Cricetulus griseus: one gene and its partners. Each later gene encodes a partner of the first gene's protein in a complex. Links are inferred from orthologs where the notes say so. Each region holds a gene or a part of one and is shown on either strand. Other genes may lie near its edges.

Region 1 (2,763 bases):
GATGAACATGAGAAGCTGAGCTGCCCAGAGCTCCACACAGGAACAGATGATTCCAAATTGGGAAAAGCTGGGTGACACTTAAACCTTTAGCCAAAAAGAAGTGGGTGCCGAGAGCCTACTTGAGGAAATAGGCAGTTGCTTGAGGAAAGGGCCTTGGGAGAGTGATCTCTTTATTCCTGGTAACTGGCATGTCTGCATGTGAAGCACAGATGACAGTACACTCACACAGGCTTGGCCCTGTCAGCCTCCCAGACTTCTGGTAAGGCAGCACATACTCACTGAACTCAATCAGCAGCTTGCCATAGCCTCTGCGCTGATAGGGAGGCAGAGTCAGGATGCAGGCCACATTGTAATCTTCAGTAGATTCCTTTTCCTGGAATCAGAGTAGGTGAGTTTTAACTTAGACTTGACTCAGGGCAGGGCCGAGGGACAGCCTGGGTGAATGCTGACCTTGGAGAAGTAGCCCACAATGTGGAAGCCCTTGCAGTCATACTCTGTCATCACATAGAAGAGGAAGGGGTCTGTGTCATAGTACAATGTCTTGTGGTCGAGGAAGCACTTGGCCAGCAGACACAGGTTTTGTGAGTAACTCTGTAAAGAAAAAAGCCTGTCAGTCACTACTCTGGGGGCACTACTATAAAGAGTTACACTTTATGCTGACATATGTGATTGCAGGCATGTATGTACTACACACACATGCATTCTCTCCTTCCACTATGGTTCCACAGAGTGAACTCAGGTGCCCAGGCTTGTGTGACAGGGCTTCTACCCACTGAGCCATCTCAAGGGCTCTGAGGAGCACTTGTTTTTGCTACTTCACTTGACAGATCGGCTTCCCTCCTAGGACCCTAACCCCACCAGTTAGGCCATCACCACTGGTTAGGTAGGGGTTAGGTAGAAAAACCCTTTACTGAGACAGGGTTTCTCTGTGTAGTCCTGGCTGTGTGGAACTTGCTCTGTAGACCAGGCTGGCCTCAAATTCAGAGATTAGCTTACCTCTACCTCTGCCTCCCAAGTTCTAGGATTAAAGGTGTGCACCACGACTGCTCGACTAAGGGCTACTTCTTAAGCGTCCAGGAGCATGTGTACTAGTGTCTAAGTGCCTGCTCCCATGGTGAGCTGCACAGCTTCCCATATACCCAGCAAAGCCTGCTCTGGACCTGTACTGTCCTCTGTTCTGCTTTAACAATAGCCAAGAACATTTCCAAGCCAGGCATGGTAGTGTCTGCTTATAATCTCAGCACTTAGAGGAGGCAGAGGCAGGCTATAAGTTTGAGGTCAGTAGGCTAGGGCTACATAATGAGAACTTTTTATTTTTCAAGACAGGGTTTCTCTGTGTAGCCCTGGATGTCCTAGAGCTCACTGTGTATACCAGGCTGGCCTCAAACATGCAGCGATCTGTCTGCCTCTGCCTCCCGAGTGCTGGGATTAAAGGCTAAAGGTGTGTGCCCCTCTGCCATTTTTAAAAAAGTTTCCCTGTCGAGTTAACTTCAAATTCAGTCTCAGGACAGAAGTTCTGCTCATGTGGCTATCCTTGGGTGCCAAAACCCCAATGCTCTAGCCACAGTGATTTTGCCTCTTGGGAACTGGTCTGCTATTCTCCAGTGATGGTTTAAGAAAATGCCAGCCTTAGTGGTTCTTCCTGCAAAACTTTGGACTTAATATAGAGCAGTGTTGCTGAGCAGTGGTGGTAAACACTTTTAATCCCAGCACTTGGGAGGCAAAGGCTGGATCTCTGGAGTTTGAGGACAGCCTGAACTACATAAGACAGCCAGGGATACACAGGGGAACCTTGTCTCGGGGAAAAATAATACAGAGAAGTGTGTAACTTTGTCTTTCTCTTGAGCTCCTGCCGCCCCCAATCAGGGTACCTGCCTTCTCCCCACATCCTGGAGGCCCAAGAGATGTGTGTATCTCAAGGAGCTCTATGCTTCTCATCTCTAAGACCCAAACATGCTTCTCCAGTGATCTTGTTCCTGCCACCTGACCTCTGACCTTCAAAAGTCTTGCTTCATCCCCTCTCACCTTCCTTTTACTTTTCACACATACTGTCCTGGTACCTCAGTACCCTGCATCACTGAACCCAACTGCTTAGAATTGCCTTAAACATGTTTTCTCCTTCATGTCCAGGCTCACAGGTCAACCTGGAAACTTTCTCAAAATAGGATTTGACTGTCTACCCCTGGCTGGCGAAGAACTCCCTACAGACTAGTAGAGATCACCTGCCTCTGCTTCCTAAGTGCTGGAATTAAAGCATTTGCCACCATACCCATCCAAGATCCTTTCTGTTTGTTTTTGACAAAGGGTCTTACAATTTTGAATTTTGAATACACCAGCTTCAGCCTCCTGGATACTGGGATTACCACCCTGGGCTAAACTGTTTTTTAAACTGTCTTTAATTTTACATTTGATCTTTGCCACCATAAAGTTTTTGTTCTTTGCTTTGTTTTGGATTCCTCTAAAGAAGGTCTTTCTCAATTTATAGCTTAGGTTGGCATAGAACTCCTTATAGCCCAGGCTAACCTTGAACTCAGGAGCTTTCTGAATGCTAAGATAACAGGCATACACTACCTAAAAGTTGTGATGATAGTTTCCTTTGAACTCTGCTAACTTATCCTTCTTTTCACGACACTTCTCACACTGGGATCTGAATAGCTGTGGTATGTCTGCTTCTGCCACGGAAAATGGCCTCTTAAGAGAATAGAGTTTGTCTAAATCCTAGTATTCTGTGCATTCCCGCAGGTTGAACCAGAGTGGTCAATT
Region 2 (4,134 bases), on another chromosome or scaffold:
CTAAGGCTCAGACTAGGAACTCTGGCAACTTTCAAGTACCCACCAGTCAGGCATGGTGAAGCTCACCTTTAGTCCTGGCACTTGAGGTAAAGGCAGGAGGATTAGCAGTTCAAGGCCAGTCTGAGCTACATAGTGAGTTTGAGGCCAAGCTGGGAAACATGAAATACCCTGTCTTGCCCCACAAGCATGACAACCTGAATTTGATTCCCACACCCCACAACAGAGAGAACCAACTCCTGAAAGATGTCCTCTGGCCTCTACACATGCCCTCTGTAACATATGCACATTCAAATACACAACAGGTATAAGCATCCTCAAAACAGATGTCACTCTGGAGATTCTTATGACACTCAAATCAACAGAAAGGTATTCCCTAACAAAGCAAAGGAGACTTGAAAGAGATAAAAGGAACATTCTAGAGACAATGAGACCCTCTGAGGATTTCACTCTCTGCTGGAGGTAGTCCAGGGTAATTTTAATTTAAGAACACAAATTTTATATGCTAAATTGTATTCCTGCACATTGGTTTCTTTTTTTTAAAAACATTCATATAACCAGTCGAGCTAGACAGACACTAGTTAAGACATGAATTCAATTAGGCTCAAACATCAATACCATTCTCTTGGGTAGCTTAAAAAAAGAGAGACAATGAATGAGTACCTTGCCAGTTCCAGGAGGCCCTGCCAACAAGACAGCTCTTCCAGCCATTTTCTTGCTTTTGATTAATTCTACTATGACTCCACATGCCTGCACACAATGGAAAGAAACAAGCAGTCAATATTAAAATGCCTCATGGTGGAAACAATTCAGTGCTTGGTCCACACAGTTCACATACTCTTCCAACACTGAGTGTCAGCAGCTGCCACAACGCTGTGATGGAGTGGAGCAGTGGAGGTGAGGCAGCAAGGCCGTGTGCTCCAGCTCAGGCTCAAGGCACAAGATGGCTGCTAAGGAGGAAAAAGGGTGTTGAGATAGTGAGTGGCTATGGGGAGCTGGAAGGTCTTTCTCATAACACTGTTGGTAATATTCAAAGCCCTAGGCAGAAATCTACATCCCAGGCAAAAACTGAAAACTCAAAATATCCAAAGCAGAAACTTGGTATGTCTAAGGGACAACATGCCGTAGCGCTAAAGCATGGTGAAGAGAATGGAGAATGGAAGTTGAGGCAGCAAGACCAACACAGACCTGGAACTTAAAGTTCAAAGGCAGCAGGGATGTGAATTTCAGGCCAGTCTGGCTACAGCAACATTATCTAAACAAAAAAGGTATGCTATGAATCCATCCAATAAAAGAACTGGAAAGGGCTGGTGAGGTGGCTCAGTGGGTAAAAAGCACTTGCAGTGCAAACCTGAAGAGTTAAGTTCAATTCCTGGAGCCCACCGTGGGAGGAGAGAATCTCTGACCTTCCCTGAAGCACTATAGCGGTCACATGACCAAAATGCATTTGCAGGTGCACTTGAGCGCTGGCACACACGCACAAATTAACAAATGAAACTTAAATACCAGCTAACATTAAAAGAATAGAAAGGGTTTTCAGAAGATCACCTAGTCTTACTTTTTAGCACCAGGGAGGCTGCTGTTGTGATCAGTCATGCAAGAATCCAATGCAGAGGCACACTTGAAAGTCACATACACTCCAGTTTATATGCTGGCTCTTTCACTTGCCAGTTGAGTTCCCTCAGACTTATTTTACCTACAACCTCTGTGAATCATGGTTACTTACCTGAATGCAAGTGTTCAAAATAACTTTTGGACATGGAAGAAAGGGCTTAGGGATAAAGTGTGCTGCCATATGCAGTCTGTCTGAAATGTGATGGCAGATTGATGCTGTAAGATGCTAACTGTAGAATCCAGGCACACTAGTATTTACAGTGCAAACATTTCAGTTTTTGTATGTCTAGAAAGCATCACACCAAAGTGAGGGTTATTGCACAGAAAGGACATAACAAACAATGGCCTCAAAGCTGCCTGGCAAATAGAAAGCATTTAACTACCATTACCTGCTTGCAAGAGAAGGTGCAAGTACCTAGGGTCAAATGTTTCCCCTTTGGATAGATGGCACTCCAAGCAGAAACCAGAGTCTTTTCCCTGGCACCTTCTGTTTGCAAGAGGCTGAGACAGAAGTCTTCACCAAATGTAAAGATCAAGTTTTTGTAGTTACTGAGCCTCTGTAGAAACCAGAGTGGAAGGGGCTGAGGAAATGGGAAGAATACTGATTAGGGGTGGGTGTGGGGGAAAGTATCAGCTTTATTACTGCTGAACTGACAGGTGGAAAGGTGCCCTGACCTCTTCCAACTTTGATTTTTTTTCGTGTGCAAAACAGAAAAGATCAAATCACCTGGCATGACTGCCGATGATTTTAAGTAGACTGAAGTGGAATAGCTAAAATAGTGCTTGGATGGGGGATGGGCCAGACTGACTGTTCCTCCCATCACTCTACTTCCCAGGTCAGCTCCCAGGCCCCCCAAAACCGCATCAACTCTGAGAACTTGGTCAATTCTATGACTAACCTCACAGCCTTCCACTGCTATTCCAGTGAGACCTAACTTGCGTGCCCTGGCACGCGAAGGATGCAATCTTTGCTCGTTAATGTGATCCCCGCTTCTCCTACAGATCTCGGTGGGTCCGGGTCCGCCCCGCGCACACGCCCCACGCCCACCTCTCTCGCGTTCTCCTGGCCCACGAGCCCTGAAGCCGCTTGCTTGGCCAGGCCGCTCTCGTCCAGCCCCAGCCCCTTCACGTGGCTGTGGGAAGCGATGCGCTGCGTCTTCGTGGTGCTCTTCACCTCCTCAATCTTCATTTTGACGAGCGTTTGGAGACACAACCGGCGTGGAAAGGTAGGAACTGCGGCACGCCGGGCACCCGGGTTACCACGCGGCCGTTACTAGGCCGCTCTCTGGGACCCGCCCTTATTAGCGCGCCATTGGTGGAAGCGAGAAGACTTCGGTTTCTATTGGCTACAAGCTACGCCCGTCGGTAGCTGCGGGTGAGTTCCGCCCACCAACTTCCGTTTGTGTTACAGGTTGGATTTCCCCAGGGCAGGCGTTTCCTCCCCTGGCTATCGTTGATGGGCAACAGCTAAATACTTTAAAGCATTATCAATGTTAGTGGCAGTCTTTGTTTTTTATAAACGCCTCTTTTAATATCTTTTTTTCCTTAGATTAAGATATCTGTGCCAGGGTGAGTTGACTCTTTCACTGACAATTTTAAGACCTTTCCCAGGTATCTGGTTGCCCTGAGAGAATTTTCAGCAAAACAGCCGCCCAAACTTCCCCCATGATGTCCCGAGGAAGCTGCTCAGCCAACCACTTTTCCTTTTTGCCGGAATACAATGGATCCAGGATGCACTATTCCAACCAGGACAGTTTCAAAGAATTTATGCCATAATTTTGGTCATCACATATCTAATGAACTCTTTTAAAGATGGTTTTATGTAACCTTGGTTGGCCTAGAACTCAGAGACCCACCTGCCTATGCCTCTGAGTGCGAGGATTAAAGGTATCACCACCATACTCTCATCAGCCATTTTCACCAGACTTGAGTAGGTACAGTTCTCCAGGTAGCCCAGAAAAACAAAAACAAAAAAACAGCCTGTGATTGGTAAAAACATGGTCCTTCCTTGAATCAGCAACTGTTATTGGTGCAAATATGGTAGTTCGGTTTCATGAGCCACTGTGCCACAGCATAAATGGAATTTTTATTTGCATGAAGGGCTGTCCTAAGGGCAACAAACGCTCTTGTTTACCTTCCCCTACAGCATTCTGGTTAATGAAGCAGGTGTGCCTCACTTTTCAAACAGCTGGGAGACACCTTCCTGTGGTGCAGTGTGCAATATATTGCAAAATTAGGCCCACTATAAGACTTCTCTTGAGAAGACTTTCACCTCTAGTAATAGTGAAGGGACCAGCTCCCCATTTTGGCAGTCATAACAGCTGAACACATGCTCCCCATGACCTTGCCTTGGTCACTAAGAGGTCAGATGCCTGCCTTGTGGCAAGGAACCAATCAGAAATTAGCTGGTGGTGCTATGCTTTAGGGCTCTGGGTGTGCTCTACGGACAAGTGCACAGCAATGACGTACAGAGCGTAGCAACCACCCTGGGAGGGCCTATGGTCCATAACAACTGGTTGACCA
Region 3 (3,955 bases), on another chromosome or scaffold:
AACGCCCGGCTCAGTACTCATTTCTTACTTAGGTTTTCAGTTTTTGTTTTGAGATAGAGGCTGGCCTAGAACTCACTTTGTATACCAGGCAGTTCTGCCTGCCTCTCCCTTCGGAGGTCTGTGACCATTATGCTTCGTGTGTACCATTATGCTTCGAATTACAGAAACATTAAGTAGACTTTCTTTTTAAAATGTATTTGAGTGTTTTGCTTTAATGTATGCACACGCACATCTGGCCCTGGAGCCTGTGAAGGTCAAAAGAGGCTATTGAATTCCCTGGAACTGTAGTTATGGATGATTGGGAGCCCTCATGTGGGTACAGAACCAGGGTCCTCTGCAAGAGGACATCGTCTCTTCAGTGCCTCACATACACTTTAAAAGAACACTTTAAGTAGATTTCTGCAGGAAACTTACCAAAGGGAAATGGGAAATTGGAAATTGTGTTTTCTTTAGGCCCGTGCTGCTTTTCCTCCAAGGTCCCAACTATTTGCCAGCGACAAATGACCTCAGTATCAACTCCCACAGGACAGTTTTATTTAAAGGTTTCTGACTCAACGTGCTAAACTCAACTGCTTCCAGAGTCGTTTCGCCTTTGACAGTGGAAGTTAAAATACCTTCTTTATCACGCTCTGGTGAACGCCAGGGCCGTTCGAGACGGGGAGGTGTCCCGAACTCGCTGCTCTTGCGTTGAGTCCCTGGCTCACTGGGTAAGCCGCATAGCAGGGAGCTTGTGCTTTAAGACTACCGAAAGCTCTGGAGTGCGGTGCGCTGGATGACCGACCCGCTTACACCCTGGGGACGCCAGCGACGCCCTTTCCCTTCCTCTAACCCCGAAGCCAGAAAGCCCTCAAACAAACAAAAACAAATTCAATAGACAGCCAAACCGTCCCACTAGCGAGGGAAAGCGCGCCAATCACACAAAGAAAAGGAGGGGGGCGACTGGGATTCAAAATCGTTTCTCCGGGACGTACATCCTCCCGGACCTATCGGAATTAACTGCGCGCTTGCTCAGAGCCAATAGACCCCGAGTTTCTGGTCCGGGGCCCCCCTAACGACGGATGGGCAGTCCTCTAAGCCAATGGAGTGGCGCGACGCTAAAGGCTCGGCCAATGCAGTCGGGAGGTGGGTGGAGCGTAGGCCAGGGGGTTGGCGGTGCCGTGTCATGGAGGCTCAGTCTCGCAGCAGCCATTGAAGGGGAAGGAACTGCGGGCGGGCGCGCGCGTGTCTCTCTCTCTCTCTCTCTGTGTGAATGTGTGTGCGTGCCCGTGTGTGCGCGCGCGGGTGTGTGGACTAGAAGGTGGGGGCAGCCGAGTTAGTCCCAAGTCGTCGGACTCCATTTGCTATTCTTTTCTTTCTCCCCCACACCCGGGTGGTAGTGGGCGTTCGTCTTTGCGTCTCTTTTCATTCATCTCCAGACCTTTAGGGGTGTTTTAGGGTTGGGGGCAGTGGGGAGGGCAGGCGAGGGGAAAGGAGGAGGACATGGAGATGAAGAAGAAGATTAACCTGGAGTTGAAGAACAGAGCCCCGGAGGAGGTGAGATGACTCAGCCCCCACCTTCCCCTCCCGCCCTGTGTCGCGAGGGGTGGGCTTCGGTGGTCCCGGTGGGTGCGCGGGGCGGACTGGGAAACGCGCCCCCACTCGCGGTGGGGGCGGGGTGTTTATTTTAAGTTTTAAATCGCCAGGCTTCTTGTGCTTAAAATGGCGAAGGGCTTAAGTTTCTAGGGGCATTTTCCCGGGCGCGCGGGGGCTCAGCCCCTCGGCGTCCCCGCAGTCTGGCGGCCCGGCCTCGCGGGGGCGGGCGGCGTGGGCGCGACCCCCGGGCCTTCGCCACCTGCGAAGTTGGTGTAACTTTCCCGCGGTGCCGCCATTCGGCCGGCCGCGGCCCGGGGCGTGGGTCTCGGGCCGATCTGCACCCTGCGCTCCCTCCGGCGGTGCCCACTCGCGGGCGGCGCGCGCCGGGCCGGCGCCGGCGCCGGGCCCGGGCGGCGGCGGAATCCCGGGACCCGACGGCGCCGGCCGCGATCCTCGTGGCGCGCGGACCTCTCTACGCAAGCCCGTGGCTCGTGCGAGCCGCGCAGTGCCGTGTGCGGTCGTCGGGAAGACTCGCGGGCTGGGAGGGGCCCCCGGAGGCGTCGCCTTCGAGCCCCCCGCCGTCGGGTTCCCTTGCGGTTCCCGCCAGGTTCCTGGGTCGGAAGCTTGGGCCGCGGCGGGCGGTGACGGCGCCTGGGGCTCGCCGGTTCGCGGCTGCTTGAAGACGAGGGACAAGGGACCGGCGCTACGGTGGTCCCTTGACGCCCTAGCAAAGGCGCCGGTCTGCCCGGCCTTCGCAGTCACCGTGCAGAGCTACCCGTGCCTGAGCCCTGTTCTTTTCTGTGGCGGGTTTGCGGGTTTCTGCCGACTTCAGCCGAGAGCGAGGTGGAGGAAACATTGTTTCTGTAAGGGTTATTATCGCTGGGAGAACTAGAAGTTTTCTAGAGCTTTTTAGAAGATTCTGGAATAACTCAAAGTTAAAAAGCTGTCCATCAGCAGGGCATGGTGACTGATACCTGTAATTCCCAGCCTTTGGAGGCCGAGGTAGGAGGATGGCTGCAGGTGGGACTCTGTCGAGCAGGGCAAAACAAATCAAAACAAGCAGTTTCTCATAAGCCTTAGGTGCAAATGTGGGCCTCTTCCCGCATCCTTTCGCCTCCAATTTGGAGAATTGCGGGACATTGCCATGGTGTAGTAACAGGTTTATATAGACAGTTTATTTTTATTTATGTTTTTGGCTTTTTAAGACGGGGTTTCTCTGTAGCTCTGGCTGTCCTGGAACTCCCTTTGTAGACCAGGCTGACCTTGAACTCGGAGATCCACCTGCCTCTGCATCCCAAGTGGGCCACCACTGCCCGCTATATGGGCGGATTATAAAGTGCCCAGTTTACTTTCTCCTTGGAAAACTTGTAAACTGGGTTGTATTGTTTTAGAATCCAAATTTGCAAACAGGAGTCCCAAGACAGTGTAGTGGCGTATTCTGGCGGAAGAACTGGGTTTCTGACACTGGATGTACAAGGCCTCTTGCTGAGCTCTCTTAGCCCTGGATAAGACTGGAATCCAAAGGCTTAAGAGGTGCCTGGCGTGATAGTGCACGCCTTTAGTTCAGTTCTATAATCCTGACACTCCGGAGGCAGAGGCAGATGGGTCTCTGAGTTTGAGGCCTATCTGATCTACAAAGCAAGTTTCTGGTCAGCCAGGACTAAATAATGAAATGCTATCTCAAAAACAAATGAACCGGAGGGTGGTTTCACACACCTTTGGTTGCAGCATTCACTTTTAATCCCAGGGTTTGCAGGCACAGATATCTGAGTTCGAGGCCAGGCTGATCTACAGAGTGAGTTCCTGGACAGCTAGGGCTACACAGAAAAACCAAAACAAAAAACAAACAACGCAAAATAAAAAAAAAAAAAAAAGGCTTAAGAATCAAGACACCCCACCATACTGAGGGTGTGACCTATTAATGCAAGTCATTTTTTTTCTAGACCTTGGCTTCCTGGTCTCTAAAAGGGATGTTATGGTTCCATTTCTGCTCATTGGAATAATGATTGCCAAAGTTACACCCAAGTAGAGAAGATGGCATTTGTTGTTCCTGATTTTTAGCCTTTAAATAAACATTTTTGTACTGGGGACAGAGAACCAGGATCTGATTAGGTCTATTCAGGTGCACTGGTAAGTTTGTTACTACATCTGGGATCTGGGGTTGGAGTGATGCTCAGTAGTCAAGAGCACTTGTTCACATGGTAGCTTCCAACTGCTACCATTCCTTCTTCCACCTCGGAAGGCACCAGGTATGCATAGAGGTATCCATATGTAGGAAAAACACCTGTACACATAAAATAAAAATAAGCCTACAACTCAGATCTAATAAGAAACCCAGTTCTGAGCTGGAAAGATGGCTCAGGAATTAAGAGTACTGGCTGGT
Region 4 (3,973 bases), on another chromosome or scaffold:
GACCAAACGCTTTGATTTGAGGAAATAAAAGAAGTCTGACAACATGTACTGTTTCAGTTTGCTAGTGGCTTATACACACTCTGCTTCAATTCTACAAGCAGTAATGCCTTAATTACCTTAGTTTTAAAAAGCTGTACTGACTTTTGCTATTTCAAAACATCTTCCAACAATCAAGGTAGAGTCAACCCACAGACAAGGATGTATGCCACAGCCCTGGAGCAGCACAGCACTGAATCAGCTAATGGCATTAAGTCAGCTGGTTATGGCAACCATAGTTGCTTACTGAGAGTACTACTGGAGAGTGTCCACACTTCTTTTAATAAAAATAGTGATAATATATTCAACATTTGCATTACAGACCAAGCACCCCACCATGTTATATGAAGGTATGAAATGTGTGATCATTTGTTTACATAAGATGCCATTTAATCACTCAATACAGAAGCTATTTATTCTGTGCAAGGGCTTTCCAAAGCCCATGCAAAAATAATGACCTTAGTGGATGACTGCTAAAAAAGACAAATAAATAAAAGGGATTTTTTCTGTTATGGAAATGGAGAAAAACTTCCTCACTATATTCATCATTTAAAGTTCTTCAGTGCATAATACCTTTATATAAAAAAAAAAACGATTCTGAGACATTCTAGTTACTCTTAATTTTCTTAAGAAAAAAATCTTACTTTCAGTTCATTTGCCAATATAGACATGCTGCTACTTTTGTTAATACATTATCACTTTTTGCTTGTTTGTTTTGTTTTTCAAGACAGGATTTTCCAGTGTAGTTTTGGAGCCTGTCTGGGAACTAGCTCATGTAGACCAGGCTGGTCTGAACTCTTCAACTGCCTCTGCCTCCTGAGTGTTGGGATGAAAGGTGTGTACCACCGCCTGCCTAATGCATAATCACTTTTAACTTCAGAAAACACCAAGTTTATAAGAAAAACTAAACTTGAAAAACCCTATAATATGTATAGACTAAATCCAAACTATCATAGAATTTTAAAAAATTGAACTATTACAAAATGTTTGAAATAATCCCTTATTCTATACCTATTTGTAACAGGTATTATACATCCTAATTATATGTATTATTTTAAATCAGCAGATTGTCTTTTACAAAACAAAAAACAAAAACAAAAAAAGTCCCAAGGCAGCAAAGAGCCAAGGTGGATAAGAAACTGGAGAGGCCCTAAAGTGAATCCAAATCTATCTGCTATCAAGCTCTGATCAATCCCTTTGGAATGTGCTTTGCTAAATGTTTACTACTGCAACTGTACTGAGTCAAAAAGGAAAGAATCACACATACACCTGTCACATGCTTATGACGGACTACGGGGCTATGGGCCCCCAAAAGAGACGACCCAGAGACTTAGATGAGAAAGTACAAAGTACATTCCGGAAGAAAAGTTACATAAGTGTGTGTGTGTGTGTGGTGGGGGGTCGTTGGGGGTGGTGGTGGTGAGGGACTGACAATGAAAAGAACAACTCCTAGCAAACGAAGGCTGCCTTTGAGCCACCTCCAATATGGCTTTTCAAAATAGCAAGGTTAATTTGGAAATAAGTACAATACAAAAAACTACCAAGCACTGATGGACAGGAAAAAAAAAAAAAAAATCAAAGCTGAGCCAGTACGGTGGGTGGGTAATGCCTGTAAATCCCAGCACTAGGCAGGCAGAAGCAGGTAGAGCAGGAGACTAGGGCCAGACTCTGATGCACAGTGAGTGTGAGACCGCCCCGAGCTGTGTTTACAAAACAAGAAGAAACGGGTAGAAAAGCCGACCCAAGGTCCAAACGTTTCAATCAAGGGCAGGTCCATCATGTTTCCAATCATGACTATTTCTCTGGCTCGTTGTGGCTGAGAGAATAACCCTGTTCGTAGTTGACGGCTGTCGGCGTCTCTGGCAATAGGCAACTTGTCAAAGTTCGGCCTGCCGAGCCCACTCGGGTCCCCGGGGGAGCCGCGCGCAATCTGCGATCCTAAGCGTTTTACTCTTGAGAGATCGGGGAATAGGATGAACTTTTTCTTTCTCTCTTTTTCCTAAGTCTGAATGCAGAACTCGGAGTTTGCAGGCTCAGGAGCAAACCTTGTGGGAACCACGAGTTTCCCCCGCGGTGCGATGTCGTCATCGCCGTGCCGTGTCACACACACACACACACACACACACACACACACGCACGCACGCACACACACACACACACACACACACACACACACACAAACACCGGCCCCCGCGTGTCAGCGGGGTGCTGTGCCGGCCAGCCTCCTCCTGTGGAGGCGGCAGCCCGAGGAAAGCGGCGCGGAGAAGCCCGCCCGCCCGCCCCGGGGACGCGCCACTTACTCTGCACCTGCAGGTCCATCTCGCGCATCTCCGTGAAGCGGTCCCGAAGGTCCATCGGCAGCTGCTCAATCACTGTCAAAGGCACAGTCCGTCAGAGGGCGGGGCCAACGGCGAAGCTACGCGCTGGCGTCACGCGTGCGTGCGTGCGTGCGTGGGGGGGGCGGCTCACAACGAGGCTGCCAGTTACCGTGAGAAAGAAACATCCCCCGCTCCCCCTCCCTCCCGCCATCCCGCCCGCCCGGCCACTCGCGCTCCCGCCCGCCGCCGATCCCGCCAGCCGCGTCGCCGGCGCCGCGCACTCACTTTCCAAATAGTCCTCTAGGTACAACATCGCGGCCCTGACTGCTGCGGGGACGAACGGGTCCAGGGGTTTATTTGTGTCACTCCTTGTCGCCGGAGTTTTGTCCCTTCCAATATGGCGCCTCCGCTAGCAGCACCCGCTCGACTCCGGCAAAGGGAAAAAAAAAAAAAAAACGGAAAAAAAAAAAAAAAAAAAAAAGGCTCCACTTTGGCGCCTGACGGCGCCTGCCTCACTGCCGCCCGGCGTTACTATTGGCTGCCTGGAGCGCTGACGTCAGCAGGCCGGTGCGGATCCCCGTGGTGTTCTGGGAAATGTAGTCTTTTTTTCCCGAGCGGGGGGCCATCCATGCGGGCAGCTCCAGGCGTCGCAACTACAGAAACCACACGGCTGTGCGAAACGGGTACGCCAGAATCCGAAATGCGGTGCCTCTGTTTATTTGTGGGTTTCTTGCAAGGGGAATGACGGGAATTGTAGGCGCCTGCCTGACAGAACTAGGAACAACTTTTCACCTGTTCTGTGCTGTGATTCCAAGCCCGCCGTTTGTGAGTCATGGATTTCTAACCGTGCTAGGCAAATAGCAAAGGTTCCAAACGCTAGAATAATCGGCCAAGTTCGGAAAACTCGAATTGTTTAGAACACAACTCCCTGCTGGAATTTATCTTCGTTATCCACTCCTGAGATATAAACGGGACAGCTGACTGTTGTTGATCCTGTAACTTTAAGATATTTATACCAAGACTGGATCGAATGAGCATTTCCCAAATTGAAAAATGCCCAAAAATTGTCTGCAATAGCCAGTATGTTTTGCTGCGTGTCTCGAATTCGTTGTAATATTCTAATGCACCTGCAAATAAATAAATAAATAAATAAATAAATAAATAACGGCCAACCATAAATTATGGAGATTTAATCCAATTCTGGGATATACCAGCAATGATTCAAATTTACGTTGGGTAAATATCCGGGTTAAGGTTTGTAAGTCCTGGACTGCGTCTTTTTCTACCCCTAACAAGTGTTCACTAGTAGTATAACGAGTGTATCACCGCTCTGTTTCTGTCTTAAAATCCCTTTCATAAAAATTCGTGCACTAAATACATGCTTTGTGTTTTGAGGAAATGATCCCTTCTTACACTATCTATTACTTACCTGTAATTCCGAAACTGGGGGAGTTGAGACAGGAGAGTCAACAGTTCGAGGGGAGCTTTGGCAACACGGGTAGTTGGAGGCTAGCCTAGACGGTGGGAGACCCTATTTCACACCAAAGAAAAATTAAAAAAAAAAAACAAAATTTTATAAAAACCAGTGTGACATTTTTAAGATTTATTCACTACTCTGA

Evidence for each region.
Region 2: Kat5 (region 1) and Ruvbl1 share a complex: the UniProt entries of both Homo sapiens proteins name them as parts of the SWR1-like complex. The link is inferred for Cricetulus griseus from reciprocal best matches to the Homo sapiens genes KAT5 and RUVBL1.
Region 3: Kat5 (region 1) and Anp32e share a complex: the UniProt entries of both Homo sapiens proteins name them as parts of the SWR1-like complex. The link is inferred for Cricetulus griseus from reciprocal best matches to the Homo sapiens genes KAT5 and ANP32E.
Region 4: Kat5 (region 1) and Ing3 share a complex: the UniProt entries of both Homo sapiens proteins name them as parts of the SWR1-like complex. The link is inferred for Cricetulus griseus from reciprocal best matches to the Homo sapiens genes KAT5 and ING3.

Annotation. Positions count from the first base shown.
Region 1 is NC_048596.1:53,750,940-53,753,702, reverse strand, and holds part of Kat5 (histone acetyltransferase KAT5), read right to left. Parts: intron 2,352-2,763; exon of another isoform or gene 2,173-2,351; coding exon of another isoform or gene 2,131-2,172; intron 592-2,130; coding exon 451-591; intron 374-450; coding exon 280-373; intron 1-279. Other genes in the region: Rnaseh2c (ribonuclease H2 subunit C), read left to right, coding at 2,131-2,172. UniProt on the Homo sapiens protein: Catalytic subunit of the NuA4 histone acetyltransferase complex, a multiprotein complex involved in transcriptional activation of select genes principally by acetylation of nucleosomal histones H2A and H4.
Region 2 is NC_048601.1:54,830,684-54,834,817, forward strand, and holds the start of Ruvbl1 (ruvB-like 1), read right to left. Parts: upstream 2,801-4,134; coding exon 2,660-2,800; intron 748-2,659; coding exon 661-747; intron 1-660. UniProt on the Homo sapiens protein: Possesses single-stranded DNA-stimulated ATPase and ATP-dependent DNA helicase (3' to 5') activity; hexamerization is thought to be critical for ATP hydrolysis and adjacent subunits in the ring-like structure contribute to the ATPase activity.
Region 3 is NW_023276806.1:60,586,061-60,590,015, reverse strand, and holds the start of Anp32e (acidic leucine-rich nuclear phosphoprotein 32 family member E), read left to right. Parts: upstream 1-1,155; 5' UTR 1,156-1,479; coding exon 1,480-1,533; intron 1,534-3,682; exon of another isoform or gene 3,683-3,702; intron 3,703-3,955. UniProt on the Homo sapiens protein: Histone chaperone that specifically mediates the genome-wide removal of histone H2A.Z/H2AZ1 from the nucleosome: removes H2A.Z/H2AZ1 from its normal sites of deposition, especially from enhancer and insulator regions.
Region 4 is NW_023276806.1:205,262,019-205,265,991, forward strand, and holds the start of Ing3 (inhibitor of growth protein 3), read right to left. Parts: upstream 2,801-3,973; 5' UTR 2,668-2,800; coding exon 2,640-2,667; intron 2,409-2,639; coding exon 2,337-2,408; intron 1-2,336. UniProt on the Homo sapiens protein: Component of the NuA4 histone acetyltransferase (HAT) complex which is involved in transcriptional activation of select genes principally by acetylation of nucleosomal histones H4 and H2A.